Arabidopsis thaliana: one gene and its partners. The protein of the gene in region 1 interacts with the protein of each later gene in a pairwise test. Each region holds a gene or a part of one and is shown on either strand. Other genes may lie near its edges. The genes, in order: IRX1, NRT1.8 and CHX6A.

Evidence for each region.
Region 2: the proteins of IRX1 (region 1) and NRT1.8 interact in a protein complementation assay, tested with the Arabidopsis thaliana proteins (one large-scale study listed by BioGRID).
Region 3: the proteins of IRX1 (region 1) and CHX6A interact in a protein complementation assay, tested with the Arabidopsis thaliana proteins (one large-scale study listed by BioGRID).

The regions. Positions count from the first base shown.
Region 1 is NC_003075.7:10,308,987-10,320,077, reverse strand, and holds IRX1 (cellulose synthase family protein), read left to right. Parts: upstream 1-3,191; 5' UTR 3,192-3,358; coding exon 3,359-3,536; intron 3,537-3,628; coding exon 3,629-3,708; intron 3,709-3,791; coding exon 3,792-3,843; intron 3,844-3,937; coding exon 3,938-4,103; intron 4,104-4,186; coding exon 4,187-4,459; intron 4,460-4,550; coding exon 4,551-4,896; intron 4,897-4,992; coding exon 4,993-5,130; intron 5,131-5,202; coding exon 5,203-5,328; intron 5,329-5,395; coding exon 5,396-5,608; intron 5,609-5,690; coding exon 5,691-6,134; intron 6,135-6,207; coding exon 6,208-6,561; intron 6,562-6,644; coding exon 6,645-7,232; 3' UTR 7,233-7,454; downstream 7,455-11,091. Other genes in the region: NRAMP5 (NRAMP metal ion transporter family protein), read left to right, coding at 418-995, 1,124-1,260, 1,341-1,993, 2,069-2,293; MYB98 (myb domain protein 98), read right to left, coding at 7,521-8,000, 8,070-8,196, 8,334-9,010; RLP51 (receptor like protein 51), read left to right, coding at 10,620-11,091.
Region 2 is NC_003075.7:11,514,824-11,524,554, reverse strand, and holds NRT1.8 (NITRATE TRANSPORTER 1.8), read left to right. Parts: upstream 1-4,749; 5' UTR 4,750-4,978; coding exon 4,979-5,096; intron 5,097-5,196; coding exon 5,197-5,414; intron 5,415-5,495; coding exon 5,496-6,049; intron 6,050-6,135; coding exon 6,136-7,015; 3' UTR 7,016-7,202; downstream 7,203-9,731. Other genes in the region: CPL1 (C-terminal domain phosphatase-like 1), read right to left, coding at 7,633-7,720, 7,807-7,880, 7,955-8,020, 8,217-8,303, 8,407-8,621, 9,080-9,176, 9,323-9,376, 9,450-9,580 and 1 more. UniProt on the Arabidopsis thaliana protein: Low-affinity nitrate transporter. Involved in nitrate removal from xylem sap. Not involved in oligopeptides transport.
Region 3 is NC_003070.9:2,548,858-2,559,442, forward strand, and holds CHX6A (cation/H+ exchanger 6A), read right to left. Parts: upstream 6,373-10,585; 5' UTR 6,218-6,372; coding exon 5,939-6,217; intron 5,844-5,938; coding exon 4,824-5,843; intron 4,730-4,823; coding exon 4,067-4,729; intron 3,844-4,066; coding exon 3,349-3,843; 3' UTR 3,078-3,348; downstream 1-3,077. Other genes in the region: CHX6B (cation/H+ exchanger 6B), read right to left, coding at 1-393, 481-1,134, 1,228-2,244, 2,329-2,616; ATCHX5 (Cation/hydrogen exchanger family protein), read right to left, coding at 7,486-7,950, 8,050-8,709, 8,814-9,833, 9,915-10,217. UniProt on the Arabidopsis thaliana protein: May operate as a cation/H(+) antiporter.

The DNA of each region.
Region 1 (11,091 bases):
TTAGGAAAACAAACTATGTTATGCCTTTTGATTTGCTTGTTTGAAAATTGCTTAGCTTTGGTCTGATTCTGTACCGGTTAAGGGATTTTGTAATTTAACCGGTTCTGGTCTATGGTTTGTTTTTAATTCAATCCGCAAATATCTCTAAACCAATATTTATTGTGCTAATCCTTGAACACAACTAATTTTTGTTATACCAATTTAGAAAATTTTCGTCAAAAAAATAGAGATCACAATTCAGTTTCTAATAATAGAAACTTTTAATAACAGTTCATTTTTAGAATTTGCTTTTGTTTTCTCATTTGACTATTCTTGACTTTAATTTTAATTTTATCAAAATAATCCATGTAATCTTTTAAAATTTTCTTAAAACAAATCACGTCGTCAGTAACGCCGAAAGAATATTCCGTTACTAAGATGACGGGATCCACCGTTTCCCGCCAAGAAAACAGCCCTAAGAGACCAAACGACAGTAACGGCGAATTCAAACGTCTATTAGTTCCCGAAACCTCTCAGCCAGAGGAGGACGAGCTTCACGAATCGCCACCGGAGAATCAGATCCTGAACGTAGAAGAAGACAGAGACAAAACCTACGATTCAGTTCCGCCATTCTCATGGGCAAAGCTATGGAAATTCACCGGACCTGGATTTCTCATGAGCATCGCGTTTCTAGATCCAGGAAATATCGAAGGAGATTTACAAGCCGGAGCTGTGGCTGGTTACTCTCTCCTATGGCTTCTTCTATGGGCGACGCTAATGGGACTTCTGATGCAGCTTCTCTCTGCTCGTATCGGTGTCGCCACGGGTCGACATTTAGCGGAGATTTGTCGAAGTGAGTATCCTTCGTGGGCGCGAATCTTGCTTTGGTTCATGGCGGAGGTTGCTTTGATCGGAGCTGATATTCAAGAAGTCATCGGAAGCGCGATCGCTCTTCAGATTTTGACTCGAGGGTTTTTACCTATTTGGGTTGGTGTTATCATCACATCATTTGATTGGTAAGCAAAACTAGGTCTTTGGCTTAGAACGCCTTTAGGATCACCTGAGTTATTAAAAAACAAAATAGGTCTTTTTGCGGTGTTGTTTGTAACACAAGTTTTGATTTGTGTTGTTTGTGAAAAAACAGCTTCTTGATTTCGTATTTGGAGAAATGTGGAATGAGGAAATTAGAAGGTCTTTTCGCGGTTTTGATTGCGACAATGGCGCTTTCGTTCGCTTGGATGTTTAATGAAACTAAGCCAAGTGTTGAAGAACTATTCATAGGTAAGTTTGTAAGATTAAGCATTGTCTCTTATTTGATGTCATTTCTTGATTTGGTTTTATCTTGATGATGATTTTGAAAGGTATTATTATTCCGAAACTCGGATCAAAGACGATTAGAGAAGCTGTTGGAGTTGTGGGATGTGTAATAACGCCTCACAATGTGTTCTTGCATTCAGCTTTAGTGCAGTCTAGGAAGACGGATCCAAAGGAGATAAACAGAGTTCAAGAAGCTCTTAACTACTATACAATCGAATCGTCAGCCGCGCTTTTTGTTTCGTTCATGATCAATTTGTTTGTAACTGCGGTTTTCGCGAAAGGGTTTTATGGAACCAAACAAGCTGATAGTATAGGACTGGTTAACGCGGGATATTACCTACAAGAGAAATATGGCGGTGGTGTTTTCCCGATACTATACATTTGGGGGATTGGTTTATTAGCTGCTGGACAAAGCAGTACTATAACCGGGACTTATGCTGGACAGTTTATAATGGAAGGGTTCTTAGATCTTCAAATGGAACAATGGCTATCAGCTTTTATAACGAGAAGCTTTGCTATTGTACCTACTATGTTTGTTGCTATTATGTTTAACACATCCGAGGGCTCGCTCGATGTTTTAAACGAATGGCTTAACATTCTTCAGTCGATGCAGATTCCTTTCGCGGTTATTCCTCTTTTGACTATGGTTTCTAATGAACATATCATGGGTGTCTTCAAGATCGGACCTTCGCTTGAGGTAAAGCAATTTTTTGTCATCTCTCTTTATTGTTATGTGCTTTTGATTGTAACGAGTTAGTTGGGATCTTTGCAGAAGCTAGCTTGGACTGTGGCGGTGTTTGTGATGATGATAAATGGGTATCTTCTTCTAGATTTCTTCATGGCTGAAGTGGAAGGGTTTCTTGTTGGGTTTCTGGTTTTTGGTGGAGTAGTTGGATACATCAGTTTCATCATCTATCTTGTTTCTTATAGAAGCTCACAATCTTCTTCCTGGTCGAGTTTAGAAATGTCAGAGAGAGTTGTTTCCACAGAGACGTAGAAACCCATAACTTTAGTATTCTTCAACCCTTACAACTTATCTGAGCAAAATCAGAAGGTCGAATTTGATGGATGGTTTTGCTGTATTTGGTCAACGGTTTTATTTGAGACAGTAGACCAGAGGAAACTCAGATGTGATGATGCAAAGACTGAATTGGTTAAGAGTGTAGATTGATTTGTTCTAACATTGCAAATGTAGAGTAGAATTATGCAAAAAACGTTAATGAACAGAGAAGTGATTAAGCAGAAACAAAATTAGAGAAGTGATATTATATCTCAAAATTTATTTTTGGTACAGCTAAAGCTCAAATTGTTATAGAGATTAGAGATATTAAACCAAATGACGAGTGTTTTCTTTAGTAGTAAACGGTGAAAATTCTCTTCTGACAAAGACAATTAAAATTTTAGGTTTAAGACTTTAATATTTGTCACAAATTGTCATTTACCTAAATAAAAAAAAAACTAAATATTTTTTTTAGATACATATGTGTCTTATAATTTTAACTATAAATTTTAATTTTATGTCTTAAATAATTGTTTACACTATAAATTTAAATATTTTAATGCTAAAATTAATTTGATTCAAAAAAGTGATTTTAATTCTTATTTTTCTTATAGAAAGTTGGTGATTGAAAAGATTTACTTAAAAATTATAACAACTTCAATGGTGAATAACCCGACCCGAATAAACCGGATATAACAACTTCAATGTTAGCTTGATATAGAAAGTACGGTGACGCTTAGGAGGCAAGCAAGCTAGTATCTGCCGCTGGTTAGAGACAAAGAACATGTGTCACTCCTCTCAACTAAAACTTTCCTTCACTTTCCCGCAAAATCATTTCAAAAAAGCTCCAAATTTAGCTTACCCATCAGCTTTCTCAGAAAACCAGTGAAAGAAACTTCTCAACTTCCGATTTTTCACAATCCACCAAACTTTTTTTAATAACTTTTTTTCCTCTTATTACAAAACCTCCACTCTCATGGCTTCTCAAACTTGTTATCCATCCAAATCTCAATCCCTAATTAGGGTTCATTTCTCTGTTTCTCCAAACAGGGGAATTCGAAGATGATGGAGTCTAGGTCTCCCATCTGCAACACTTGTGGTGAAGAGATTGGTGTAAAATCAAACGGAGAGTTCTTTGTGGCTTGTCATGAGTGTAGTTTCCCGATCTGCAAAGCTTGTCTTGAGTATGAATTCAAAGAAGGTCGAAGAATTTGCTTGCGTTGCGGCAATCCTTACGATGGTACAATTATAAATTTACAAACTTTATTCGAAAGTTTGATTTTTTGGTTAAAGAGTATTTATAACTTGTTTTGTTTTGTTTTGCTTTCATAGAGAATGTGTTTGATGATGTTGAGACAAAGACATCTAAAACTCAATCCATTGTTCCAACACAGACCAATAACACTTCTCAGGTTTGTGTGCTTAGCTAAGATTAGTTGCTTTTATGTCTTAATTAGATTTTACAAATTTGAGAACATTATCTTGACTTTTTCAGGATTCAGGGATTCATGCTAGACATATAAGTACAGTCTCAACAATAGACAGTGGTAAGAACTAAGAAACAAAGCCAAAATCTTTGTATACATTTGGTGAGGTTATTAATAGTTTAACTAACTTGGGGATTGTTGTTTCTTCCTGAAGAACTGAATGATGAATATGGCAATCCAATTTGGAAGAACAGAGTGGAGAGCTGGAAAGACAAGAAAGACAAGAAGAGCAAGAAGAAGAAGAAAGATCCAAAAGCAACAAAAGCTGAACAACATGAGGCTCAGATTCCTACCCAACAGCACATGGAAGATACGCCACCGTAAGCACATCCTCGTACTAATCTAATAACATTCACCAAAAAGTTTGAGACGTTGATTTGGTCTCTGCCGTTTGTATTCTCAGGAACACAGAATCTGGTGCTACAGATGTGCTTTCGGTTGTGATTCCTATCCCAAGGACAAAAATCACTTCATATAGGATTGTCATCATCATGCGGTTGATCATCTTGGCTCTGTTTTTTAACTACCGTATCACGCATCCTGTCGATAGCGCTTACGGTTTATGGCTAACATCTGTGATATGTGAGATTTGGTTTGCTGTTTCTTGGGTGTTGGATCAGTTCCCTAAATGGTCTCCTATTAACCGAGAAACTTACATCGACCGGTTATCCGCAAGGTTACAAATGTTTTATAACCGTTATATGCTTAATCTGCGCAGTTACTACCAATCTTTAAGTTTTATGAAACCATTTATCAAAACTATGCAGATTCGAAAGAGAAGGCGAGCAATCACAGCTTGCAGCTGTAGATTTCTTTGTTAGTACGGTAGATCCATTAAAGGAGCCACCTTTGATAACTGCAAACACGGTTCTTTCGATCCTCGCGCTTGATTATCCGGTGGATAAAGTCTCTTGCTATGTATCTGATGATGGTGCTGCAATGCTTTCGTTTGAGTCTTTGGTTGAGACAGCAGATTTTGCTAGGAAATGGGTACCTTTCTGCAAAAAGTACTCCATCGAGCCACGAGCTCCCGAGTTTTACTTCTCGCTTAAAATCGATTACTTGAGGGATAAAGTTCAACCTTCTTTTGTGAAAGAACGTAGAGCCATGAAAGTAAGTAAGCAAGGGCTTTAAAACCTTAAATTAATCTCATATAGCGTTAACCGATGATTGAATCGAAAACTTAATGTCTAATTTCTCTTCTTGTAGAGAGATTATGAAGAGTTTAAAATAAGAATGAATGCTTTAGTCGCCAAGGCTCAAAAGACACCAGAAGAAGGATGGACAATGCAAGATGGAACATCTTGGCCCGGGAACAACACTCGTGACCATCCCGGGATGATTCAGGTTTGCTAGCTAAAACATTTGACCTGAAATGCTCTGTCTTTTCTTGTTAGTCACGTAATTTCTTTCTTGCAGGTTTTTCTTGGATATAGCGGTGCTCGCGACATTGAAGGAAATGAACTTCCAAGATTAGTTTACGTCTCTAGAGAGAAGAGACCTGGTTATCAGCATCACAAAAAGGCCGGGGCAGAGAACGCATTGGTAAACTTCAAAACTTTTTCTTTTATCGTTCAATTTAGCACAATCCTAATGATTTTGTTCTTTGTAGGTGAGGGTGTCTGCGGTTTTAACGAATGCTCCATTCATTCTTAACCTTGATTGTGATCACTACGTCAACAATAGCAAAGCCGTGCGTGAAGCAATGTGCTTTTTAATGGATCCTGTTGTTGGTCAAGACGTTTGCTTTGTTCAGTTCCCACAGAGATTTGATGGAATCGACAAGAGTGATCGATATGCTAACCGCAACATTGTTTTCTTCGATGTAAGTTATCTCATACTCATAACTTCAAGCAAAGTTTTGAGATTTCTTATGATATTTTGTGGTTTTGATATGATGTTTTCAGGTTAATATGAGAGGGCTTGATGGGATTCAAGGTCCAGTTTATGTTGGTACAGGTACTGTCTTTAGAAGACAAGCACTTTACGGATACAGTCCACCTTCAAAACCGAGGATTTTACCGCAATCTTCATCATCGTCGTGTTGCTGTCTAACCAAGAAGAAACAACCTCAAGATCCTTCCGAGATTTACAAAGATGCAAAGCGAGAAGAACTTGATGCTGCAATCTTTAATCTTGGGGACCTAGACAACTACGATGAGTACGACAGATCGATGCTGATTTCACAAACAAGCTTTGAGAAAACGTTTGGTCTCTCTACGGTTTTCATCGAGTCTACTCTTATGGAGAATGGCGGTGTTCCCGACTCTGTAAACCCGTCAACGCTCATCAAAGAAGCTATTCATGTCATTAGCTGTGGATACGAAGAGAAAACTGAATGGGGAAAAGAAGTAAGTGCCTTGTTTCTTCATATCAAAGTTCTCTTGTGAGTACATTTTATAACCTTTCGTTCTGTTTTCGCAGATAGGATGGATTTACGGGTCGATCACCGAAGACATTTTGACGGGTTTCAAGATGCATTGTCGTGGATGGAGGTCGATTTACTGTATGCCATTAAGACCAGCATTTAAAGGATCTGCTCCAATCAATCTATCAGATAGGCTTCACCAGGTTCTACGTTGGGCTCTTGGCTCGGTTGAGATCTTCCTTAGCCGACATTGTCCTTTGTGGTACGGTTGCAGCGGAGGCCGCCTCAAGTTGCTCCAGAGATTAGCTTATATAAACACTATTGTCTACCCATTCACTTCTTTGCCTCTTGTTGCTTACTGTACTCTTCCAGCTATTTGCCTTCTTACCGGCAAATTTATCATCCCAACGGTAACTTTTTCATACTACTAATTACTTTGGTTAGGTTACAGCAAGATTGAGAATTTGATCTTTGTTTCTGTTCTTTATTGCAGCTATCAAACCTAGCAAGCATGCTGTTTCTAGGTCTCTTTATATCAATCATCTTAACGAGTGTCCTCGAGCTTCGATGGAGCGGAGTCAGTATCGAAGACTTATGGAGAAACGAACAGTTTTGGGTTATTGGAGGTGTCTCAGCTCATCTCTTTGCCGTTTTCCAAGGATTCCTCAAAATGCTCGCTGGTCTCGACACAAATTTCACAGTCACATCGAAAACCGCAGATGATTTAGAATTCGGTGAGCTTTACATTGTCAAATGGACAACTCTCTTGATCCCTCCGACGTCACTTCTTATAATCAACTTGGTCGGAGTTGTTGCTGGATTCTCTGACGCTCTTAACAAAGGTTATGAAGCTTGGGGACCTTTGTTTGGGAAGGTATTTTTCGCCTTTTGGGTGATTCTTCATCTTTATCCATTCCTCAAAGGTCTTATGGGAAGACAAAACAGAACACCTACTATTGTTATTCTCTGGTCTATCTTGCTTGCTTCTGTGTTTTCACTTGTTTGGGTTCGTATCAATCCTTTCGTCTCCAAAACCGATACGACTTCCCTTTCTCTGAACTGTCTTTTGATCGATTGCTAAGAGAAGATACGTTATGTTTGTATTTTGAAAGATTGATCATATGTGTTTTGGTTGTTTTATAAATTTTCATATGGTTGCTTGAGCCACAAGTTAAGTAATGTTCTTATTTTAGCAACAAGTCTTGGCGGGTTCCGCAAGTTAGGTTTCTATTGTTTCAACATCAACATGTTTTTAAAAAGCAAAATATTTTATATCTTTTCAAATTATTGAAGTTTGGTGGAATCTGTCTCGTATAAAAAGACAAACAAAAAACAACAAAACTGAAACAAGCAGAATAAAAAATACAAATCAGAGTCCATGAACAAAAGCATCAATGTCAGGCTGAGGAATGTCATCAAGCAAAGAGTCAATGCTACATCCTTCCTCAAGCAGCTTCTCATTGAATCCAAAATCATCAGTAAACACACATTCAGGCACAATCCTGTCTTGTCCATACACCTCCTCTTCCTTCTTCTTCTCCTCAACCGCAACAACAACATCCTTCTTCTTGTTATTACTCTCTCTGCGTCTACCTCTTGCAGGAACAGAAGAAGCCATCAAAGCTCCCATATTCAAGCTCTTGATGTAATCCTGCAACAGAGAAGGTCTTGGATACTTAGATCTACATTTTCTTTTAGAGAATTGTCTTCTTTTTGTTGCGTTCCAATGGTTCTTGATCGAGTTCTCTGTTCTTCCCGGGAGTCTTTTCGCAATCTCTGCCCATTTGTTTCCAATCTCTTTGTGAAATTCTATCAACACTCTGTCCTCTTCTTCACTCCATGTTTCTTTCTGCAACAATCTTTATCTTTTAGGTTCCATAATCATCAATACATGATCTTATAGCTACTAGTAAAATACCTTAATGTCAGGTCTCAAATGGTTATGCCACCTCTCTCTACATTGTTTCCCGATTCTTCCCGGTAACACTTGAGCGATATGCGACCATTTACGCAATCCATACTTCTCCACGAGTTGAATCAGTACCCTATATTATCCAAAACAAGAAAACTTCATTTACAAGCAAAAACGGGTGACTATAGTAAAAACCTCTAGAATAGTGTAATCATCAAAAGTCTTGATTATGTTAATTGATTCTTGAGGTTTCTTGTGTTAATAACGAACCTGTCTTCTTCAGCAGTCCATTGTCCTTTGACTAAGGTTGACTTTTTGGTTTCTTTCCATGATGATGATGAAGAAGAAGAAGACAACTTTCGTGTAAGAAATGGTTTGGTCTTGTTGAAACTTGTTGCTCTATAACAATCATTATCTGCAGAAACACATGAAATTTCATCTGGCATTACGAAGTTCATAGGTTTGAAAGTCTCTGTAGGAGGGTAATCAAAAGGGATCATCCTCATCATCATCATGTTGTTTTGCTCCAAGTCCATAGGATCATCATGTTCATCGACCAAATTGATCTCTTGATGATGATGATGATTACGAGTGAAGTATGAGTTTTCCACTGCTTGGAAATGATGATGATTCATCAAATTTGGTTTAGTTTCATAGAAATCGACCATGTTTTCTTGGTAAGAGCAATGCTCGAAAGGAGCATTATTGATACAAGAAGACGTAGTTTGGACGCTGAGCAAAGGATGTGAAGATGAGGAGCCATGATGATGATGATGATCAAACTGATGATCATGATCAAGATGGTGAAAATCTTGAAGAAAGCTTGTAGGTTTTGATTGGTCGACGACTTCGAATGGAAAATCTTCTTCTTTCATGTGTTCTTGATCACGTGTGAAGATGTTTTGGTTTAGAGAAGCAAAACCATTCTCGTCGACGAAATTCTCCATTGTTTTGGAAAGGAGAAAAAAAAAACTAATTAATTAGTAAAAAAAAAAAAGTGAAGTCTTTTTCCGATTTTGTGTTAGCTTTGTTCTTTCTCGTATTTGTAAGGTAGGAGAAGAAAGAAAAGACATTTAATGTGTGTTTTTACTATACCCATAAATTTGTTATGGATTGAAATCTAACGTTTGTAGTTTGTTGGTAGCATTAGTGTGATTTTGTATATATTAAATTAATTAATTATTTTTTTAAATTATTTCTTAAATGCTTAGCCATTTTTGTGTTTTTCTTAAATCATATCTCAACATGAAAGTGAGGTAAAATTAAGAAAATTAATTTCGAAGTTAGTTTACAATGAGATTTTTTTTTTTTTTTATCCTAGTTAGATTTTTAGAGGTATTACTAAAAATAGTTCAAATTAATTATTTCTTTTAACATATTTTGATAGAAATATAATTAGATTGAAAATCAAGTTAGAAAATGTGAGATAATAATCTTTGTTGACGTTACACATTAGGTGTTGTTGAATTTGGGGTAAACATAGTTGAATGTTTGTGAAAACGCTAGTATGAATTAAATCTAGTTTTTAATGTGTAAATGACTCATTTATTGTATATTTAGTTGTCTTTAGTTAATTTATCATAAAGTGTAGTATTAATTTAGTCAACAAAAATGTAATTACCATTTTAAATGCCGAAGGACAATGAGTGTATTGACCATATTAGCTCTAAGGTCTAATTTTCATTTTGTTCACTCCGTCTTCTAGAAGTAAACCCTCACAAAAAGTCTCTGACCAAAGTGAAACAAAAAAAAAACTCAAAAACCGCATCGTTTATAACAAAGTGTTAACAGTGTGACTCTAATGGTGTTTCTTGCAGTGTACAACTTCTTAGTTCTTTAGTTCATGCATGTATTTCTTTTTTCTGCCTAAATCTGAGTTCTGTCCGAAAACTTTTTAAAAGACCTCCCTTATTAATTCATGTATGGGGGTTACAAAAAAATATGATTCCTATGATATTCTTCTTGTCCCCACCTCAATGCATAAGGACTGGACTAATGCTAATATCGATGAACTATTTACAAAAGCAAAATCAATGGAGTCTTAGATTACACGATCAAATCCAGGGCAGAGCATAAAATCATCCTGGTGAAATAACATTTGGTAATATACCTTATTTATACACTTCTTTATAGAGTTTTGAATGGTTACAATGACATAGAGAAAATGTAAAGCAAATAAATTGATTATGGTTGGTACATGTCGAATAATGAGTTTTAAAAGGTTGTTTACATTTGTCAAAGTTTCTAACACATAGCAAAAAAACAACAAAAGAATCTCTATCCATAACAACCAAAGTTGAACTAAAAAGCCAAAAACATAGTTAAATACTAAATGCAACAAAATAAGAGTTCATATAGAAGAAAAGAAGAAGATTAGAATAAGGTCAAAATCGTAATTAAACCAAAAACAGAAGGCTAAAAGTATACAAAACCCAACTGTCACATGACCCATCTTTGAAAAATCCAATCTTTCTCTTCCTTCTTCTTCTCTTTCTCTCTTTTACTTTCTCTGACACTATCCTTCTCTTTCTCAATCTCTCTCTCTCTCTCTTCACCATGAAACCTCCGTCGTTACCGTTACTCCTCCTCCTCCTCCACCTCTCAGCCACTATCTCCGCCGCTCCTTCCCTCTCTCCAACTCCATCTCCAACCACCTCTCCCATTCCACCTCACAAACCTTCCTCATCCTCTTCCCCATTAGACCCAAAACAACTCAAAGCCCTTGAATCTCTCAACATCCCCACCGTCAAAGATCCTTGCAACCACCGTCCCACCACCAAATCCACCTCCTCCTCCGTCGTAACCTGCGACACCAGCTCCCCATTTCGCCTCGTCACTTCCATCTCCTTCACAAATTGCTCCACCGATCTCTCCATCTCCACAACAGCTCTCAGAGCTCTCTCACCATCTCTAACCTCTCTCTCTTTCCTCAACTGTCCTTCACTCTCCCCTCCTCCACGTCTCCCTGACTCACTCCACTCCTTCACCGCCGTCTCCTCCTTCCTCCGCCGCCGTAATGGCCTCTCCG
Region 2 (9,731 bases), 1.2 Mb from region 1:
ACTTTAAACAATGAGCAAGTGATGGTTTTTTAGTTACGTGGATCAAGATGCATGAGGTGGACAATTATAAGCTCCCATGTTGATGATAAGCACAAGGACGTTGATTTCGTGTCACATAATTAAGGTCTACCCTAAACCATATGATTTTACATATATATATATATATATATATATATATATATTCATTCCAGCTAATCTCCAAATTGCTCAAAATTACCACTTTCATCTTTCTCTACAATATTTTATCTGACAACTGCATAGTGGAGATATAGAAATTTAAAACTTGTAGCTTTTACACAAAACTTATGAAATAATTTATTATTGCCTTTAATAATTCTCTGTCCAGAAAATTTTAGATTATTACTTTTCGTATGTTACACACAGTAAAATCGTACTTATACAATTCGTACGCTTAATAAATTTTGATCGTGTAGTCTAATGACTTATAATAGTATCATCGTTGTGTTTATATATCATCTTGATATAAATCCGATAGAATGAACATTTAAATGTAAAAAACTAAGTTTTTTCCTACAGATTTTAGAATTTGAATTTGTTTCGACTTTCTACTCGTGATTATATATATTCACCGAATGAAAACAACAATTAATGAAGTCGAGACGTCAGCCATTTTTTTTTATTCTTATCTTTGAAATCTATAAAACAGTACTTATCTATGGACTTCATAAACTACATATGTGTGAATGTTTAATATTGAACAAGTGGTTATTCTCAATTTTTAGCTCCAGTCACTAACGATAACCACAACAACGTCGTTTTTGCTTGATATAAGCTCTCTCTTATATCATTTGATTTTATTTTCATACATCTAATCTCCAAGTTGCTGGGAACAAAGTCTTTCATGTTTCGATAATTATATTAAATCTGTCCACAACACATGTACAAGCAAGTTCGTATATTATTCCAAATGACAGCTTATAACTCTTTCACAGCCCCATGATATTATAACGTACTATTTTGAACTACTCTGTGTAGAAAAGTTCAAGAACAAAATATTTTAATTATGTAGACCCTTTAAACCACGTCGTTTAGTTTTACGAAATCATCAATTAATGCTACTTTGTTTGTTATAGACTTAATAGTATTAAAAAGGTATGTTAGTCTTGCGATACAATTTTGTTGCTACCGTTTACACTTGAGATAATTATATGGTTTATGCGTACGGTAAATCTTTACATCTGATTAATGCATTATAATTCAGATTGATAATTAATAGACAAACCTTCTTCTGTTCTTCATAACAAGGGTTCTTATAAAAATTCTTATCATATATATGTGATATATGTCATGGCTTACCTAAGATCGGAAGGATATTCTAAGTAGCACTTAATGTCACTAGAGTCATCTCTAACTACAAAATATTCAAACAATGTGGAAAATAAGAAAGTTAAATAAAATAACTGAGAAGCAACTTGCTTGGTTCGCTAGACTTTATGCAAATTGGGTTTATATATTCTGATAAAGTTGATAAGCGATATATAAAACGGGATAGATAATTGAAAGCGCTTATAATATATAGACCATGATGAGCGCTTGTCTTAATCCCGTGGTTTAACAACTAATTACATATTGATTACTTATTTAGAGAGCTGTTAGCCGAAATGCCAAATTGCAAATGCAAGCAAAGTTTGAGTTGTGGAATCAAAAGTCAAAGCTGCCACTTTTGTTCTTATCGTTCTTGCAGTTTCCACGTAGTAGCCGAGCACTTTAGTACAAGAGATATTTTTCTTTTAAAGATCGACCAAAATCGTAGTTGGTAACAAATATATAAATATGACGCCAGAAAAACTATACATTATACATTTATTTACATGGGAATTAACGTTGTACCATGTCAATGTGATATTTATTCTGAGAGTAATACTATACATTAATAGCAGAACGTATCGCATACTGGTTAATGTCAATTGTATTACACTATTCAAAATCAGATTTGCATGTTATTTAATCGTATTTATATAAAAAGGTTTACATTAAAAATGAAAACCATATTAACACTATATAAAAACTTAGCCTATTACTAGCTTAACTTTTTAGCCACAACATTAGTCAATTGAGGAATATTTTTTTTGCAAAAAGGTTAGTCTATAGAAATTTGATTTTTGAAGGTCGTTTTCGTTGGAAGACATAAAGCTTCTTGGTTGGGTGAATTTAAAAAATATTCAACGTATTTTTGGAGAACAGCTTGCAGACGACAACATCCTTCAAGTTGCCACTTGAATCCTCCTCAAATTGGCTGCTTAATTAGCATACCTCAAAATATATATCAATTAAAAAAGAACGTCACTTGTTAGTCTTTTTCACGAAATAATATATTACTATTTTTGTCGTTATATATAAGTTGGTGGTTGGCATTTTGTCTTATGGTCCACGTTAATTTCGTGAGAAGCCTTTAGCGTGTTTCTTTTGAGTTTTTTCTTTCATTTGTCAGCTCGAAAACAGGCGGAAATTAAACCAAATTATTATTACGTGTTCCTTAATATCGTGTTTTGTTTGTTTACAAGATATCGTATATGTGATCAACTTATTCTTGCTAACTTGTAATAATCTGTTCTAGTTATACTACCCACTTTATATCATTGCATTGAAGCGATGATGAATATGTCTTACATGAGCTTATGATATAGATTATATATATCCGGTATCTAACTAACCATTTTGAATAAATTTCCTTACTGATGTGGTGGGCAAAAAGTTTACGAGTCGGATTGGTTGGATCCGTGTTGGGTTATATTACATTATATCATATTCGCATTTTAAAAAAAATTTATTGGTTAGGCGTAAATTAACTTTTGATATATGATATAATCGCATAGTTATTCAAATGGTATAGTCCAAACTTTCCTTCCAATACAGCACAACCATTTACCATGTTCACATACAAGTATACGCATCACATACTTTACGTGATGATTTAGAGATATTTAGATATTAGTCTGATTTTAAGTTCAAAGACACGATAAACCAAATAGTTATATTACATCATTGAGACTTGTAAAGATTTCATGAACTAATTCTAATCATGAGAGTAAATAGACTTTAAATTGAAAAGTACTCTAATGAGAAGAGTAAATAAACTTAAGTGAAATATTTCATATATATACTGTAACTCTAAATCCTCAGGGAATCAGGAATTTATAACTCATATTTGAGTCCTATTAAAATAAGGTGTTGGATTTTGATTATATATTTTTATTTGTTGTTATGATTGAATTTTGATTTATGCAACACAAATATATATATAAAGAGAACGACTTTGTATTGCTTAGTAAATTGTCGTGGACAAATTGGATTTTAATCAGGCGATATTAACACTTCAACTGCCGATCATCCATATCAAAACCTAAATCAAGGTATGTCCGTTCAAAACTACCACTGTTCTACATTTAGTATTTAAACCTAAACATTTTTTTTTTTTAAACCTAAACTTGTTCTTAACCAAGATGCACGTAGTATCTTGTGAATGGTTAATTAACTTAATTTAGTAGGACGTAACAAAGTTATAGGACATTACTAGAAGTCTAGAACATAGTTCTTTCGTGATCATTAAAACTTCGATCCAAATTTTTTTGACACAATGTGTATTAATTTAGATTGTTCGATTCAGATTTAGGTCTAACTTTCTTAGGTAAAAAAGCTGGAATTTGTAAATATCCCCAAGCTTCAATGAATCTAGACATTAATTCGACAGATAAGATTTGCGTAAAATACTATAGAAGATTTAGATGTATTTCATATTTTCACTTATCTAGGTTTCATAATTAACCAATCAGCGAATTGGTATAAATTAAAGTTTGGATTGCCAAATACCAAACATGTTTGTATTTATCCATCCAAATATGAAATCAAATATAATCCTATTTTTGAAAGATAAACAATTCTGTTCACAAAAAAAAATCAGAAAGAAAGATAAAAACATAGTATATGTGAGACACAGAAAAGGATCTAACACAACAAAAAGAAAATTACCAAAACGTATCAAAGATTTAGACTTAAATTAGGGCTTAAACATGGATTAAGAATAGAACCAATTATAATATAAGTTAGGAGTGAGGAAAGTCGTAATCGAATACAGCTACACACGAGCGTAGCGTGCTTGAAAGAGACACCAAATCCTGTTTTAGTGGGGAACTTTCTTACTTTCACTTTTTCCCCTCTTTTTTTTTTCCTATTTAAGAACAATTATTTGGGGTTTTTACTCTTTTTATTTTCCCTCATGTTTTTTGATTTTATCAGTCTCTTCCAGCAGCCCTCCAGGTGTAACTGGTCACACATTCGCTTGGCTTACCTTTAACCAGGTGTTTCTCCTTCTTCATAGATTTTAGGGATGCCAATTTTCAATACTACGTTTTAAGTTCCTATACCGTAATTTATGGTTTTATTCGCATATAACAGTGGCATTTCCGTTTTTTTCCCACAAAGTCAGATTCTCTTCAAATTAAAATTTTTACATAACTACTTTTCGTATTAAATAAATATTTTAGAACGAAAAAGATCATTTAGATTTATCTCTTTTAATTTTTATTCATAAAAACTAGTTAAAAAATTAAAATAGCATATGATTATTATTGAGATAACAAAATTCTGTCGAGAAAAATCCACCGAACATATATTTTAGCAGCCCGTTTCAAAACCTTTACAATTAAATTGATTAAATTAAACACCATAGAAAGAAAGAGACGTCAAAGAAAGGATCTCTTCTGAGTTCTCTGACTCAATTTCTGAGCTCTCTATAAATATAAGCTCTCTTCTTCACACTTTTAATGCAACTCTCAATATCACTATTAAATATCTTTCTCTTTTCACTTCTTCACTTTCCTCGATTCCTGAGTTTTCGATCCTTTTGTTCTCTAACCACCGGTTTCCTCTTTAACCGGTCTCTGGATAATCATCATAATCATTAGGATCATCAAGATAAGGAATCTTTTTGAGTATATCTCTACACCAAATCGAATCTATGGATCAAAAAGTTAGACAGTTTGAGGTTTGCACTCAAGACGGTAGCGTTGATCGTCACGGCAATCCAGCTATCCGAGCTAATACCGGCAAATGGCTCACTGCTATTCTCATTCTAGGTAATGATTCTCTCTCTCTTTCTCTCTATATATACCACTGTTCTTTGTCTTAAAGTGTTGTGTTTTGGATTCTAAAGAAATGGGTTTTTGGTTGATATAGTGAATCAAGGACTAGCTACGCTTGCGTTCTTCGGTGTAGGAGTGAATTTGGTTCTGTTTCTGACTCGAGTGATGGGACAAGACAATGCAGAAGCGGCTAATAATGTTAGTAAATGGACAGGAACTGTCTATATCTTCTCTTTGCTTGGTGCTTTCCTCAGTGACTCTTATTGGGGACGTTACAAGACTTGTGCTATCTTTCAAGCAAGTTTCGTTGCAGTAAGTGTCTTCAACACTGCTCTGTCTTTTTCTAGGGTTTGTTTCTTTAACAATAAGTTAACATGTTTTAATGGATTATAGGGGTTGATGATGTTATCTTTATCTACTGGTGCGTTATTGCTTGAACCAAGTGGTTGTGGAGTTGAAGATTCGCCGTGTAAGCCTCATTCGACGTTTAAGACGGTTCTGTTTTATCTGTCGGTGTATCTAATCGCGTTAGGGTATGGTGGTTATCAGCCGAACATAGCTACTTTTGGAGCTGATCAGTTTGATGCGGAGGATTCCGTTGAAGGACACTCGAAAATCGCGTTTTTCAGTTACTTTTACTTGGCTCTGAATCTTGGATCGCTCTTCTCAAATACTGTCTTGGGTTACTTTGAGGATCAAGGGGAATGGCCGCTTGGATTTTGGGCGTCTGCTGGCTCTGCTTTTGCGGGGTTAGTGCTTTTCTTGATTGGCACGCCAAAGTACCGACACTTTACGCCTAGAGAGAGTCCTTGGTCTAGATTCTGCCAAGTGTTGGTTGCTGCAACAAGAAAGGCTAAGATTGATGTGCACCATGAAGAGTTGAATCTCTATGATTCTGAGACTCAATACACTGGAGATAAGAAGATTCTTCATACCAAAGGCTTCAGGTAAGATAACCAATTAAAAGTTCTGTTATAATCTCAGAAACCATCGTCAAGATCAGTGTTAACTCTCTCTCTATTATTTTCTACAGATTCTTGGATAGAGCTGCTATTGTTACACCTGATGATGAGGCTGAGAAAGTAGAGAGCGGATCGAAATACGATCCATGGAGGCTCTGCTCGGTGACTCAAGTCGAAGAAGTGAAATGTGTATTAAGACTCTTACCAATCTGGCTCTGCACCATCCTCTACTCTGTGGTTTTCACCCAAATGGCTTCACTGTTCGTTGTGCAAGGAGCAGCGATGAAGACAAACATCAAAAACTTCCGGATTCCAGCTTCAAGCATGTCTAGTTTCGACATTCTCAGTGTCGCCTTCTTCATCTTCGCATACAGGCGGTTTCTTGATCCACTCTTTGCAAGACTTAACAAAACAGAACGCAACAAAGGTCTCACTGAGCTTCAGAGGATGGGGATTGGGCTTGTGATTGCGATAATGGCGATGATTTCCGCAGGAATCGTAGAGATACACAGACTGAAAAATAAGGAACCGGAAAGTGCTACTTCGATCTCAAGCTCCAGCACTTTGAGCATTTTTTGGCAAGTACCTCAGTACATGTTGATAGGTGCATCAGAAGTGTTCATGTACGTTGGTCAACTCGAGTTCTTCAACAGCCAAGCACCAACCGGGCTAAAGAGCTTTGCAAGCGCGCTATGTATGGCTTCAATATCTCTTGGGAACTATGTAAGCAGTTTGTTAGTTTCCATTGTCATGAAGATCTCTACAACAGATGATGTGCATGGCTGGATTCCTGAAAATCTCAACAAAGGACACTTGGAGAGATTCTACTTCCTTTTAGCTGGTCTAACCGCTGCTGATTTCGTGGTTTACTTGATTTGTGCCAAATGGTACAAGTATATTAAATCTGAAGCAAGTTTCTCTGAGTCCGTAACTGAAGAGGAGGAAGTCTGAGTCAGGAGCTAGAGAGTTTTGTGTTTTATTTTAATGCTGTGAAGCTTTTTACAGTAATTTGTTTAAAGCTGAGCTTGTTCTGTGATATAAACTGGTCTTATTGTGTTTTTATTTTTGGGTTATACTCTTGTGCAAAGTTTAGTTGATGTTTCTCAATAAAGGATAAGTTGATTCCACAGTTCCAACACATAGTTTATGTAACTTTTCTCATAACCTTTGAATCAGTCAAAACCTAAACACTTACTAGTAGAACAGTAAAAATTTACAATATTAAATCAAGCTCTTAATGTTGTAGTGAAAACAAGGACTGTTAACTATGGAAACTGCAGAAAAAGCTTTGTGGAAACTTAACAGCCTGAGAACAAGCTAAACGTTCATCCTTAGGTCTTATCTTTGTGGCCACTCGAGCTGATGCTTCAACTCAAGAGTTTCTATGATACAAAAATCGCGAACCGCCTCAAATTGTTGTTACATCAATACAAGAGAGGCAACTCTCGCTGTCTTGATCATCATTTGGCGAAGAAAGGAACTTGACAAAGAATTCGTCTTGGTAGCTGTTTTTACCAAGAGAATGGAATTAATGTAGAATGTGGTTCGTTCTTCACATGGTTTTATTTTTAAGAGTATCTTCCCGAAGATGGCATCCGTTGCAGAGACCGTTGAAAGTCCGGCTTTAATCGCTTGTTTGACATCCCACCAAATGATCTAAACATCAACAAGAAACCGGTTTTTAAAATATATCAACTGACATTTTTATTTTGATAATCATATAGATATAGTCAAGAACAAACCGTGGAGATCCTTGTCGTTTATGCAGAGGTTGACCAAGCATTGATCTCACACTGGACAGTGCTCTCTCAGCAGCCTAAAGGTAAGAACGTCAGAGAAGGGAAAAGATGGGATCAGAATAAACCCGAGGCAAGAATTTAGTTGAGTTACCTGCATTCTAGCTTCGTCCCATGTCGATCCAACTCCTTCCCCTACAACACGCCCATCTATTTCAACCTGAAATATATTACAAAGAGTATCAAGAGGGGTCTACACTCTAGATACTTCAAACCAATTGAATAGATATGAAATATACTGATGGCCCTGAAGAGAAAATCATGAATCTTTCTCTTTTAACTGAAAATTGTCTATCTTAGATTTTTTTTTTAAAAAATTTAACACTTCTGTGTTCTAATCTTTTAGGGGTGCGAACCTGAGCATGTAATTCATCTCTGTGGACCATGTCAGATGGAAGCTGACGCTGAGATTGAAAAGCCATCTCAAGACCCTCCGATGCACACTGGAATTTGGTTACAGATGAATCAAAGATGAGAAAAAACAATATGTGAATGTAAGCAAGCAACCATATCAATCAACAGTATCCGCACTAAGGAGATACATACCAATTCCCTGAGTGCAGTAATGGAGCCAGTGTGCCTCATAGAACCTTCTAATCTCGGATCTGTAGGTCTAGAAGAAACTGGCAACGCTGTTTCATCTCTAGCAAATGGCTGATTATTAAGCGCATTTGCGTTTCCCATACTTATATTTTCATTGGTGAAGGGGGTAGCATCTCTGTGGCTGGGCCCTGGGTCACCATTTGCACGCATATATCCATCTGCAAAAAAAGGAGTAAGAACTCAAGAAACTGGAAACAAACGAACAACAATGAGTTTAAAGCCTCATTATAAGAACAATGTGAATGAAGCCGACCAATATTAAACCTGAGCCAACTGCCACAAATCCAAGATAGCTCTCACCCTTGTAAAGGGAAGGGACCCACAGTTTTGATATCATAACATACTGACACGCAACCGTTTGTGGTGGCAGTACTCATACTCATTGATATAAACCCATTTATGAGGACCAACACGAAGCTACAATAGATCTATTAATATTACAGACTAAACAGATTGGTTGAAAAATTGAGATCTACACCCAATATTGTGAAGATGGTTTAGAAACATCAAACAAATAACATTCACCCAATATAGCAGATTCAAACAATCTATCTCAAATAGTATCTCTGCAGACAAAGATTAAGACACGAGTAAATCATGAGTCAGAAAGTCTTACCAGCTAAATTCTGTATAGAAGCTTCAGCAGCCTTATGCAGGGCTTCTCTTCTCGATTTGCCAATCCCTTCTCCAATTTTTTGATTAGAAAGCCAAGCCTGCAAAAAAAACATAGATTTAATGTACAGTTGACACAATCAACAAAGTAACCTCACTCAAAGGAAATATAGGATCTCAAAGAGCATAAGGTTCCACCAAAATTACTGACACCATACAAACAGATACGTCTAAGAGCAATACGTACCTCAACAGAGAACCGCAAATCTGTACTAGAAACTAAACTTGGTTTGTACTCCACCTACAATGTCATGGAATAATAACACATCAACTCACGTATGGAATTAATGGTAATCATGATGATATTTACATACCTTAGCTCCACATTTGATAGCAATTCCGTGTAGAACATCAGCTGAAGTCTCCGTTGCTGAGACACTTCGTTCAGGTAGGAAGTCAAGATCACTGTTCCTAGAGGAAGATTGATTCCAAGACGCATCCTCCCCTAGAGAGTCCATCCCAATACCCAAGTCAGTGATTTATCTTCAGAACAAAATGATACAAGAACAAATAACTTTGATGGCTTACCATAGAAAGGATGAGAGTCAGGTAGATTGTTATTTGAACGTAACTGTTCATCTCTCCGGAGAGACTGC
Region 3 (10,585 bases), on another chromosome or scaffold:
AGGAAAATATTCAGATGCTAACAAATCTCCAATGACTCCAAGTTCTTCGAATTCCATCCAATCCCCGAGTCCTCTGGTGACTGTAGTACCAACCCCACTTCTTCGACCGACTATGAATAGATCATAGTCGTAAGACACGGAGTGCAAAATTTTGGATGTCTCTGTGCCATCTCCCACCGTCCAGTCAATGATGGTTGACTTATCTCCAGGCCTTTGGTCTTCATGACGGTTCATGTCTACCATTTGGCTATGAATCCTCAAGCTACTCTCATCGGCATAAGACGTAGGGATCAGACGCAAGACCGTTAGAATCACTTGTTGGTTACCTCTCATGTGGTCAGCTAATGCCAGGGCCTCTTTGTCGTCATTCCCACCCACGTAAATCAAGCACACCTGCATTTAATGTATGAAAATAAAAAATATTCAACATCATTTAGAATAAACAAAAAAAAACAAAAAAAAAAGAATGTAGTTACTTACACGGCACGGAGATTCTAGGGCTTTGGTTTGCCAAATTGGTTTGCGATAAACAAAGATTCCGACAGAACAAGGGGCGCGTTTCAGAACATTAAGATTAAGACTTCTTAGGGTTTGATCGTCTGAGATAATGACATTTCCGTTAGGCTCCCAAGTGCGGTGAAACGAGAGGAGAATAAGATTGGAACCTTGACTAAGAGCAAACCAACATATTTGTTCATGCATCTCTTTAGCGGAAGTTAAAGACGTGAACATGTTTATGGAAGCGGAGTCCCAATAAACCTCTTGAAACAGTTGGAAAGAGCTTATGACATTTTCGGAATAAGACCGACTTCCAGGCTTTGGTTTTTGAAGCTGGTGGGAGATAAACGTGGGAGTAGCTTGACCCAATAACTCTATTAGGTGAAGAACACAACATTCCATTGGAGAGTCTTTAGATGGGGAAGTTGCTCTAAGAAGGCTAATCATCGATGTTATGTTGTCAGGCTTGTTGATGCACACCAGCGTTTGCATTTCTGGCTTCTCTTTCAAGTTTCTTCTTCCGTAACACACAAATCTCTTAGACCGGTCATACAGGAAATGTATAGCCATTGGTGTTAACAAAGAGTTTACGAGAATGTATACGCCCAGGAGCGACAAGACCTCCAGACTAATCCTCTGTTAAAAATGAGAAACATTAAAACAGAAATATATATACAAATTAAGATGATCATCATATCCGTTATATGAGTATAGCTAAAATATTCTTACGTCTTTTTCGAAGGCTGTAAGTACGTAACCCAACTCGAAACTACTCTTGGTGCCCATAATGACACCTAGGATAATTGAGTCTCTCAAAGGTATCTTTGTAGCTAAGGCGGCTAAAAACGAAGTAGCGAATTTCGCTATGTATACGATGGGAAGGAAGGAAAAACACTCGTACATATGTCCATGGAGATGCCTTCCATTTCCAAACTCCTTTCGTAGAAATGACCAATCTAGTTTGATCATGCTAAGTGATCCAAAGAGGGGTAAAAAAATGCCCTCGTTGAAGCTATCGAATTTTTGTATAAATACTGATCCTAATGGCGGCCCGTTAGGGACAGCCAAACCAAGAGCAAATGCCCCTAGCGGTCCGAAGAATAAGAAGCGGCTCCAATAAAGATAAGATAAGTAAGCAAGCAAGAGACCAATGTAGAGATAGACGTTCTTCACCGGGGCTCCTTCTGGCGTATGTCTTATAACCCAAAGCATAAATTGTCGCACAAGGTACACAAAAATAAAGAATGCCATAAAAGCTAATCCCATTTTCACTCCTTGAGTTTCATCACGGCTAACGTAAGCCGATACAGTCAAGAAAAAGGCAAGCAAATCTGTTACCATTCCCGCTGACTGAGCTATTTGGCCGAAATCAGTGTGAACTATCTTGAGGTCAGTAAGCAACATGTTGACGCAAGTGAAAGGCGTCATGCTCATTGTGAATGTCATTACGGTATACTCCATTTCTGTCATGGTCAGAATACTTGATTTCTCTCTAGATGAATAAAGGAGTTTTCCTATTTGCCATGGGATGATCATTGAGGTGATCCCAATTACAACACTCTTAGTTCCTGACTTTTTCATTATTCCAACATCTGTAGTCACTCCCCTTAGAAACCAATCTAGGACAAAAGCAAATGCGCCTATAGTATCAGGAACCTTTGTCATATACTGGTTATAATGGATAAATATATGCTTTAAACATGGTATTTGCATAGATCCAAACATCTCACTTAAGACTGCTCCGACCTTCAAGAACAAGAAAAGAAAATGTGTTATATTATTCGAACATCCCCAATGACATGCGGATATTTGAAACCCGTAATTACGTACAAGCATCATGGAGGTGAACTTGGGGATAGGAACACCTAACTTCTTGAACAACATATCAAATAAACGCCATAATAGGAATATGGAGAGAATAATGATCTCCAATTGTGGAAGAGGGTACTCCCAAAAATCCATTCCCTTAGATCCGGAAGCCATTTTCTCTGCAACGCCATGTGAGTTCAACATTATATGTGGACTTACATCGCAAAACATCTTCGTCCCCATCTCTGCTCTTTTCTCATCGTTGTTCCACATGAACTCTTTGCGCCAAGTCGCATTTTCTGCATCCATTTGGGACAAATCTTGTCTACGTAAAACCAAAAAGAACAAAAAAAAAAATTGACAATGAAAAGATTTTGCAGTCAAAAAAAGAACTAAAATTAAAACCGGTCTGATGGTTTCACACAGATCCCAAAGGATCTCTAAAATTAGGATAAGGGTATAAATATAGGGATTGTCTCGTCCAGGTGTTGTCTTTGTTTTTGGCGCTTGTAAGTTGTATTACTTTAAAATAAAATGACCTCTTTAGGCAGTCTAAATAAACGCTTTACCCATTTTTAATAAGATGATCCATTAATTAAGACCTCAAATTCAATCTTTTATCAAAGGGAACAGAGCAGAGTACTCTGTTAGGTACCAAAATCTCTTTTTGTTGAGAAAAACAGAGTATTTTGCTCTGTTCCCTCTGATATCTCTAACACATACTAAACTTAATTATAACGTGACAAAGTGTGTATGTTAAACAGACCCTGTTACTACAAGAGAATATATATTTTTGAATTGTGATAACAAAGGCAGCTATAGTTGGAAGGCGTTATCATAGAGCAGGCACTGCCACAAGAAATTACTCTAATCTTGTTAACTCAAAATTTGATTAAAAAAATCGTGAAGTTTATATCATCATATCCAGAAGAAACTCGAATCAATTACTCCATAACTTCAAGCAGCCTAAAACTAATGTTTATTGATGTAGAGAAATACAACATTGAAAAGCTGAGCATTGAACATATCTCGCATTATTTCTTAGAAAGATTTTCTCCTTTGGCTTTTTGTATGATGAATGTACACTTGTTTTTGAACAACCAACACTGATGCACTTGAAGGATATTCATGTGATGCTAATAAATCTCCAATAGGTCCCAATTCATTGAACTCTGTCCATTCACTAATTCCGCTAGTAGCCTCAGTTCCTATTCCGCTGCCGCTTCCAACGATAAACAAGTCATAATCATTTGCCATTGCTCGTAAGATTCTTGAGGTCTCAGATCCATCAGAAACCGCCTTATCGATATATGTCACCTTGGCATCATTTTCTTTGATGTTGGACCCAACGATGCTAGTCACGGACTCCTTTAGGTTAATCGATTGCTGTTGCTCCCACTCATCGTTATCCATTTCAGAAGATTTTGGAATGAATCTTATGATCGTTAGCCTTGTTCGTTTTTCTGTCAGTCTCATTCGATTTGTTATCGCCAAAGCTTCTCTATCGTCTTTTCCACCGTTAAAAATCAAACATATCTGCAAAGATGAGAGTTTTATCAGGTTAAAAATGCTAATATATTAGTACCATTTCTTTTGTTCATCATAAATGGTAAAGGAAAATGAAAAGATTTTCTTTCAGCATTTAATTTCATTTAGACGTTGCAAAAATATTCTTTTAGATTTTATAAAATTCTGAAATTTGTATTTTCACGTACCCAAACGGATAATTAATTAGTTTTCAAAATAAAATGAAAAGCACCTTGCTGTGGGACTTAGCCATATGAGATTCAACGATGGGCTTGCGATAGACGAAGATTCCAACAGAGCATGGGGCTCGTCTCAGGACGTTAACGTTGAGCATTCTCAGATTATCATCGTTGGAGATAACCGTGGATCGATCAACGGACCAGGTTCGGTGGAAAGGAAGCACAATCAAAGATAGGCTTCTGGATAGGGCTAGCCAACAAATGTCCTCATGCATGTGTTGGGACACGGAGACGGAAGTGAAAATATCCAACGATGTGTATTCAAAGAATTGTCTTTGGAAGCCACGGAAGGAGATTATGACATTGTCAGACAGAGAAGTACTTCCGGGCTCTGGTTTTTGCAACTGGTGGGAAATGAACATAGGATTGGCTTGACCCACAAGCTCGACGAGGTGAAGTATGTTACACGCCATTGGGGAATCTTGTGATGGGCTAAAAGTTTCCAAGAGGTCGGTCATGGAAGTTATGTGATCAGGTCTGTAGACGCACATAAGACATTGGAGAGCCGCACCGTCTTTCAAGATGCCCAAATTCCTTTTTCGGTAGCATCTGAATCTTTTGGTTGGGTCATGCACGAGCTCCAAGAGCATTGGTATAAAGATAGAGTTCAAGAGGGTGTAGGCAGCTAGGATTGTGAAAACCTCTGGCCTTATTAGCTGTGAAACATGTCCAAAGATTTGATTAATTTTTATGAAAATAAACTAATTCTTCTGACTTTAAATATATATAGAAGAGTTTAATTGTACGCACCTTTAATTCAACCGCGTACGTGTAGTAGGCGAGCTCGAAGATCCCCTTATTACTAAGCACAAGGGCTAAAGCAAAAGAGTCTCTCAAGGGCATTTTAAAAGCATACGCGGTTATGGTGGTAACAACGAATTTTGTGGTATTCACCAAAAGAATAAAGGAAATGACCTCATAGATTTGACCCTCCATCCGTATTAAATCTCCACTCTCTTTGAACAACCGTAAGAGATCTACTTGCATCATGGTTAATGATCCAAAGAGTGGCAAAATAGAGCCAAGATTAAAGCTCTCAAACTTTTGAATCAAAGTAGTACCTAAAGGATATCCATTTGGAACCGTCAAGCCGAAAACAAATGATCCCGCGGGTCCAAAAAGATGAATAACCTTGTTAAAAAAAGTGAAGCAGGCGAAAGCAATCCCAAAAATCGAGTAGAGGTAGAAATCCTTGACCGGCCTCCCTTCTGGAGTCTGCTTGATCACCCAATACATAGCCGGCCGCACAACGCATATCATAACGACGACAAAGAGGCAGAAACCTACGGTTTGCATGAAGCCGTACAATTTTTCGTAGTAGATTGCATTAAAAAATGTTACACCAAAAGCCAACATGTCAGTCACCATAGCCCCAGAGAGGGCTATCCTCCCAAACTCTGAGTGTTTGATCTGGAGGTCTTTTAGGAGTGTGTCGATGCTCGTGAACGCGGATATGCTTTGCAAGAATATGATCAACCTGTATTCCATCCTTAATATGCTTGAGTCCCCTCTTCGTTCTCTATATCTAAAAGTGAGGCTGCCACAAATCAAGGGTATAATTACTGTAATGAATCCGATCACACTAGACCTTTTCTCCGTCCTAAATGGCAATTCGGCATCCATGGTCACACCTTTGAGGAACCAATATAAAACGAAGCCGAAAGCCCCTAGGGTCTCGGCCACCTTTGGTCGGTTATCATCAGGGAAAAAAATGTCATGGATCCAAGACTTGTTGCTGAAATGGCAAGTTTGACCTAAAATTATCCCTGCCTTCAACAACAAGGCATTACAACGTTTAGGAATATGCACCGTACTGATTTTAAAATTTAAAACGTGGAGGGAAGAGGGAGATTAAGAAAACTCACGATCATCATATATGTGAATCTAGGTACTCGAAGACCAATTTTGTTGAATGAGATGTCGAGAAGCCGCCATATAAAAAAAGTAGAAAAGATTAAGATCTCGAGATTCGGGAGCGGATATTCCCAGAAGTTCATCCCTCTCTTGAAAGTCATAACCTCCCATATCCCGTGCGAATTTACTATGTGAGGGTGTGACTCGCAGAAGATAGACGAGTTCTTGTCTTCATTGAATTCTCCCCATGACACGTCCCAATAACTCATGTCTATCTCCTCTGTAGCCATTTTAAGGAGAAAGACAAAAGTTAACGAAGAGACTTGCTTAGGGATCAAGAAGATCTAATGGAATGATTTAGGGTTTGTAATTCGATTGGGAAAGAAGAAGACTAGGGATGGTTTTGTTATAAACGTTGACTAATTAAGGTCGAATAACCAGCAAACAACAGATACGCATCTCAGGTACAGTTAATATTTACCCATTTTGTTTTCTTTTTATAGCTTCATTCTTCTCCATCTCTTGTTCCTTGTCAACATTAGCACACGTATGATTGTACATCGTCTATTTCACCAATCAACAACGCCAAAGCTATACATATAACGATATATATTTAGGGAATTTTGCATCCACTTGCACACTTTCTCAGGGATATATATATTTTTGTTTTGACAATTTTTTCTATGTTTGGTGAAATAGGAACTTATACTTTAAAATCACCATACAAATTAAGTCATTCAAACAGCTAAGCATGCAAATTAAACCAAATAATATAGCAAAGGAAAATGGATACTAAAAGAGTCTTACTAATCAAGGCAGGGTAAGATAAATAACAATATAAACTAAAGAATATTGTACCTAGGTCAGGATACCAAATTACTCTCTTATAAAATTTCTCCAAATTCAAAATTACTAATTAATGCTTGAACCCTACGTATACGTAAAGCATAATCACAGGATTAAGATTCTTCCAAGTAGTTAGGCATTAAATATTCATTGGCTAGTCGTATTTGTGGTCTTAAGACTATAAAGAAATGAGAACAAGTGTAAATCACCTACAAACCATTTTGAACTCAATTCCTATTGGTTGGTAATAGATTCCTCTAAAGGTTTTAATTGGGTAATTTCATTGAATGTATACTACGTGCGTGAAATTCTCATCATTTTTAATGATCAAATTGGTGGCAAGTAGGTCTTTTAAGACTATATACTAATTTGCTATGTAATTTATTTGTCTAGTTTGCTTATTTTTGCCGTTTTTCTTTATTGTATAGCGAAAAGGAGATTAAAACTTGTAAAACATGTAAATAGATGTAACTCTCACATTGAATGTTAATTTAATTATAAAACATGTACTATTTTTTTCTGATTTCATTGTTTTTAAAAAATTATGTGGAATCAATTAAATTTAAAGTCATATTTGCAAATGTTATCATCACAAGGCCACGGAGACGAACTGTCACTTAAAAATTTGGGGCTACAAATGTGTCTCGTGTGAGAAGTGTATTTCTATTTTTTGTATCTTATAAATGAATAAAGAGTAGTTGCCAATGTAATATCATCTACAAGCTACATTCTGTTGTTGTTGCACCACCAACACCGACCCTCTACGGGGAAAATCTTGAGACACCAACAGATCTCCAATCACACCTAACTCATCAAACTCCGTCCACTCACTCAATGCACTCACCACGTCGGTCCCTACTCCGGCGCTCCTCCCCACCACGAATAAATCAAAAGAATTAGCAATCGAGAGAAGGAGTGTTGATGTGTCGGAACCGTCGTTAACTGTCTCCTCTACGTATTCCACAAAACTATGTTGTCCAACAGTATTGTTATTGTTCCTCAGAACCTCCTTAACCTCTGCCGAGTCCAGCATCTGATCCCACCCTGTAGTCATCCCATCCATTTTCGCTGGGATTAGCTTCAACACTGTCAGGTTCACATTCGGATTCCTCATCATTTGCCTTCCCAATGCCAAGGCTTCTCTGTCGTCTTTCCCGCCCACGAAAATTGCGCAGACCTGGTTTTAGACAAATCAAGTTTCACACGTAAACACAAATTCAAGCACGGAAACTAATGATTAGCGTATGGAACAATCAAACCTTCAAATATGTGTTACCTCAAAAGACGGACTGCTCTTTTGCGCAGATAAAAGCTTTTGACGATGGACAAAGATCCCCACGGAGCAAGGTGCTTGTCTCAAGACATTTAAGTTAGCGTTCCTACGCATGACATCGTCTGAGACCACCGTTGTCTGGTCAAGGGACCATATAATGTGGAAAGGGAGCATGAGAAAAGAAGCTTGTTTGTCGAGAGCGAGCGAGTAAATCTCTTGATGCATGTACCTAGGGTTTGAGATGCATGTGAACAATTCCAGCGATATCGATTTCCAGTAATGTTTGAAGTTATCAAAAGCGATTAGGACGTTGTTTGAATAAGACCGGTTTCCAGGTTCGGCTTTTTGCATTTGGTGGGAGATAAAGACTGGATTGTCTAAACCCACAAGCTCGACGAGGTGAATCACGTAGCAACTTATTGTGGATTCATGTAGAGGAAAAGACTGTGCTAGAAGGTTGATCATCCCTGAGATGTGGTCTGCTTTGTGAATGCACACTAGAAACTTCAGCTCTGATCCAAGCTTCAAGCTCATTAGATTCCGCTTCTGGAAACTAATGAATCGTTTTGACGAATCATATAGGTAATGTATCAACACTGGTGATATCGTAGAGCTCACTAAAATCATCGTTGCCATAATCGTGAAGGACTTCACATGAAGAACCTGTAACACAACAAAATAATCTTATAAGACAGAAAGAAAAAAAAAAACATTAAGTGTTGGAGAGTTGAATTGTCTTGAATATAAAGTTAAATATGGGAACTCACATTGCTTTCAACTCCATACAGAAAATAACACAGCTCAACAATTCCTTTGTTGCTGAGGATGAGTGCCATAACGAAAGAGTCGGTCAGAGGCATTTTGGCTAGCAATGCAGGAATCATTGAGAAGATAATCTTGGCGACAAAGACAACGATGATGATGGTCAAGGCTTCATACAACTGACCGTCAAAATGCCTTAGTTGACCGATCTGGTTAGCTAACCAAGGTCCATCGATTTGCAGCATTGAGAAGAACAAGAAAAGTGGCAAAAGGATTCCAGTGTTAAAGCTTTCAAACTTTTCTACCAGTTGAGACCCTAGAGGAGGACCGTGAGGCACACACAAACCCAAAAGGAAGGGTCCAACAGCCGGAAACATGTGAATTTCCTTCAAAAAGTAGTAACCACCGAAGGCTAAAATGAGTATGATGTAGATGAAGCATTCCTTCACCGGTCTCTCTTGTGGTGTCCGTTTGATCACCCAAAACATGGCCGGTCTCACAACCCAAACCATGAATATGACATATCCGATAATTCCTACGCCTTGCAGCGCAGAAACCCTCCAGTCCATCCAAGCCACAAGGGCAAATAGATTAACACCAAAACCCGTTCCATCCGCCACCATAGCGGTCGAAATCACGATCCTGCCGAACTCTGAGTGGTTGATCCGGAGATCCCTTAATAGCCTTGAGATACCCGTGAATGCCGAGATGCTCTGCATGAATAAAATTGTTCTGTACTCCATTCCTGTCAAGTATTTCCCCCCGGTCTCTCTTAGCTTACCAAACACCATGTTGGCCGCGATAATGGGGAGAATAACAGTGGCAATTCCTGTTACAATCACTTTCGTACCTGTCTTCCTAACCATCCCAACATCCATTTTAACACCTTCGATGAACCAATAAAAGACAAAAGCGAACCCACCTAGCGTCTCAGGCACTTTTGGCCTAGTATCATCCGGGAATAAAATGTGCTGGATCGTCCAGTCATTCGGCAAAAGATTCGTTTGGCTCAAAGCTGCCCCGGCCTTCAACATAATTTTCCGATCAATCAGTCAATGCAAACAACTTTTATACAAAAGAACAAAAGAGGAAGAAAGGGTTCTTACAATCATCATGGAGGTGATCTTTGGCACAGGGAGGCCTATCTTCTTTAGGGATAAATAAAAAAACTGCCATAAACAGAGAACTAGGACGATTACGCTCTCGAGATGGGGAAGACTGTAGTCCCATATCTTCATCCCGCGTATAGGTAAATCTAGCTTCTCCCACACGCCAAAAGAGTTCACAAGAATCGGTATTTGTTCGCAGAACTTGGACCCGTCTTCACTAAAGCCATATCCATGATATGAGAAATCCCCCCAGAAGGTTGCGTTGTATGCCCCCTCATATGCCTCGTTACGCGACTCCATTTCTCCTAGATTCTTTTTCTTCTCAAGAGAAGAAAAAGATCAAGAGAAAGAGATTTACAGTTTCCAGAAAAAATTACAAAATCTTGGTGTTACATTGTCTTATTAGAAGAAATTAACACTACTAAAAATAGTTGATAATCTTTGTCTCTCTCTATTTTTTTTTTTTATCTTGTTGTTGTTAACTGTCTGTTTACGTACCTGGCGACTAATTTATATGTTTGTTTTACCTCTCTGCTTATTTAAGAACCTCCATCAATTTGTGTCTATCCAAGTTTTGTTAGAGATCCCGACATATACGGATTTTGCATGTAATCTTACGTTATAAAAATCTTGATGAAGTTATTAAATCGTCATATATTATTAGAAAT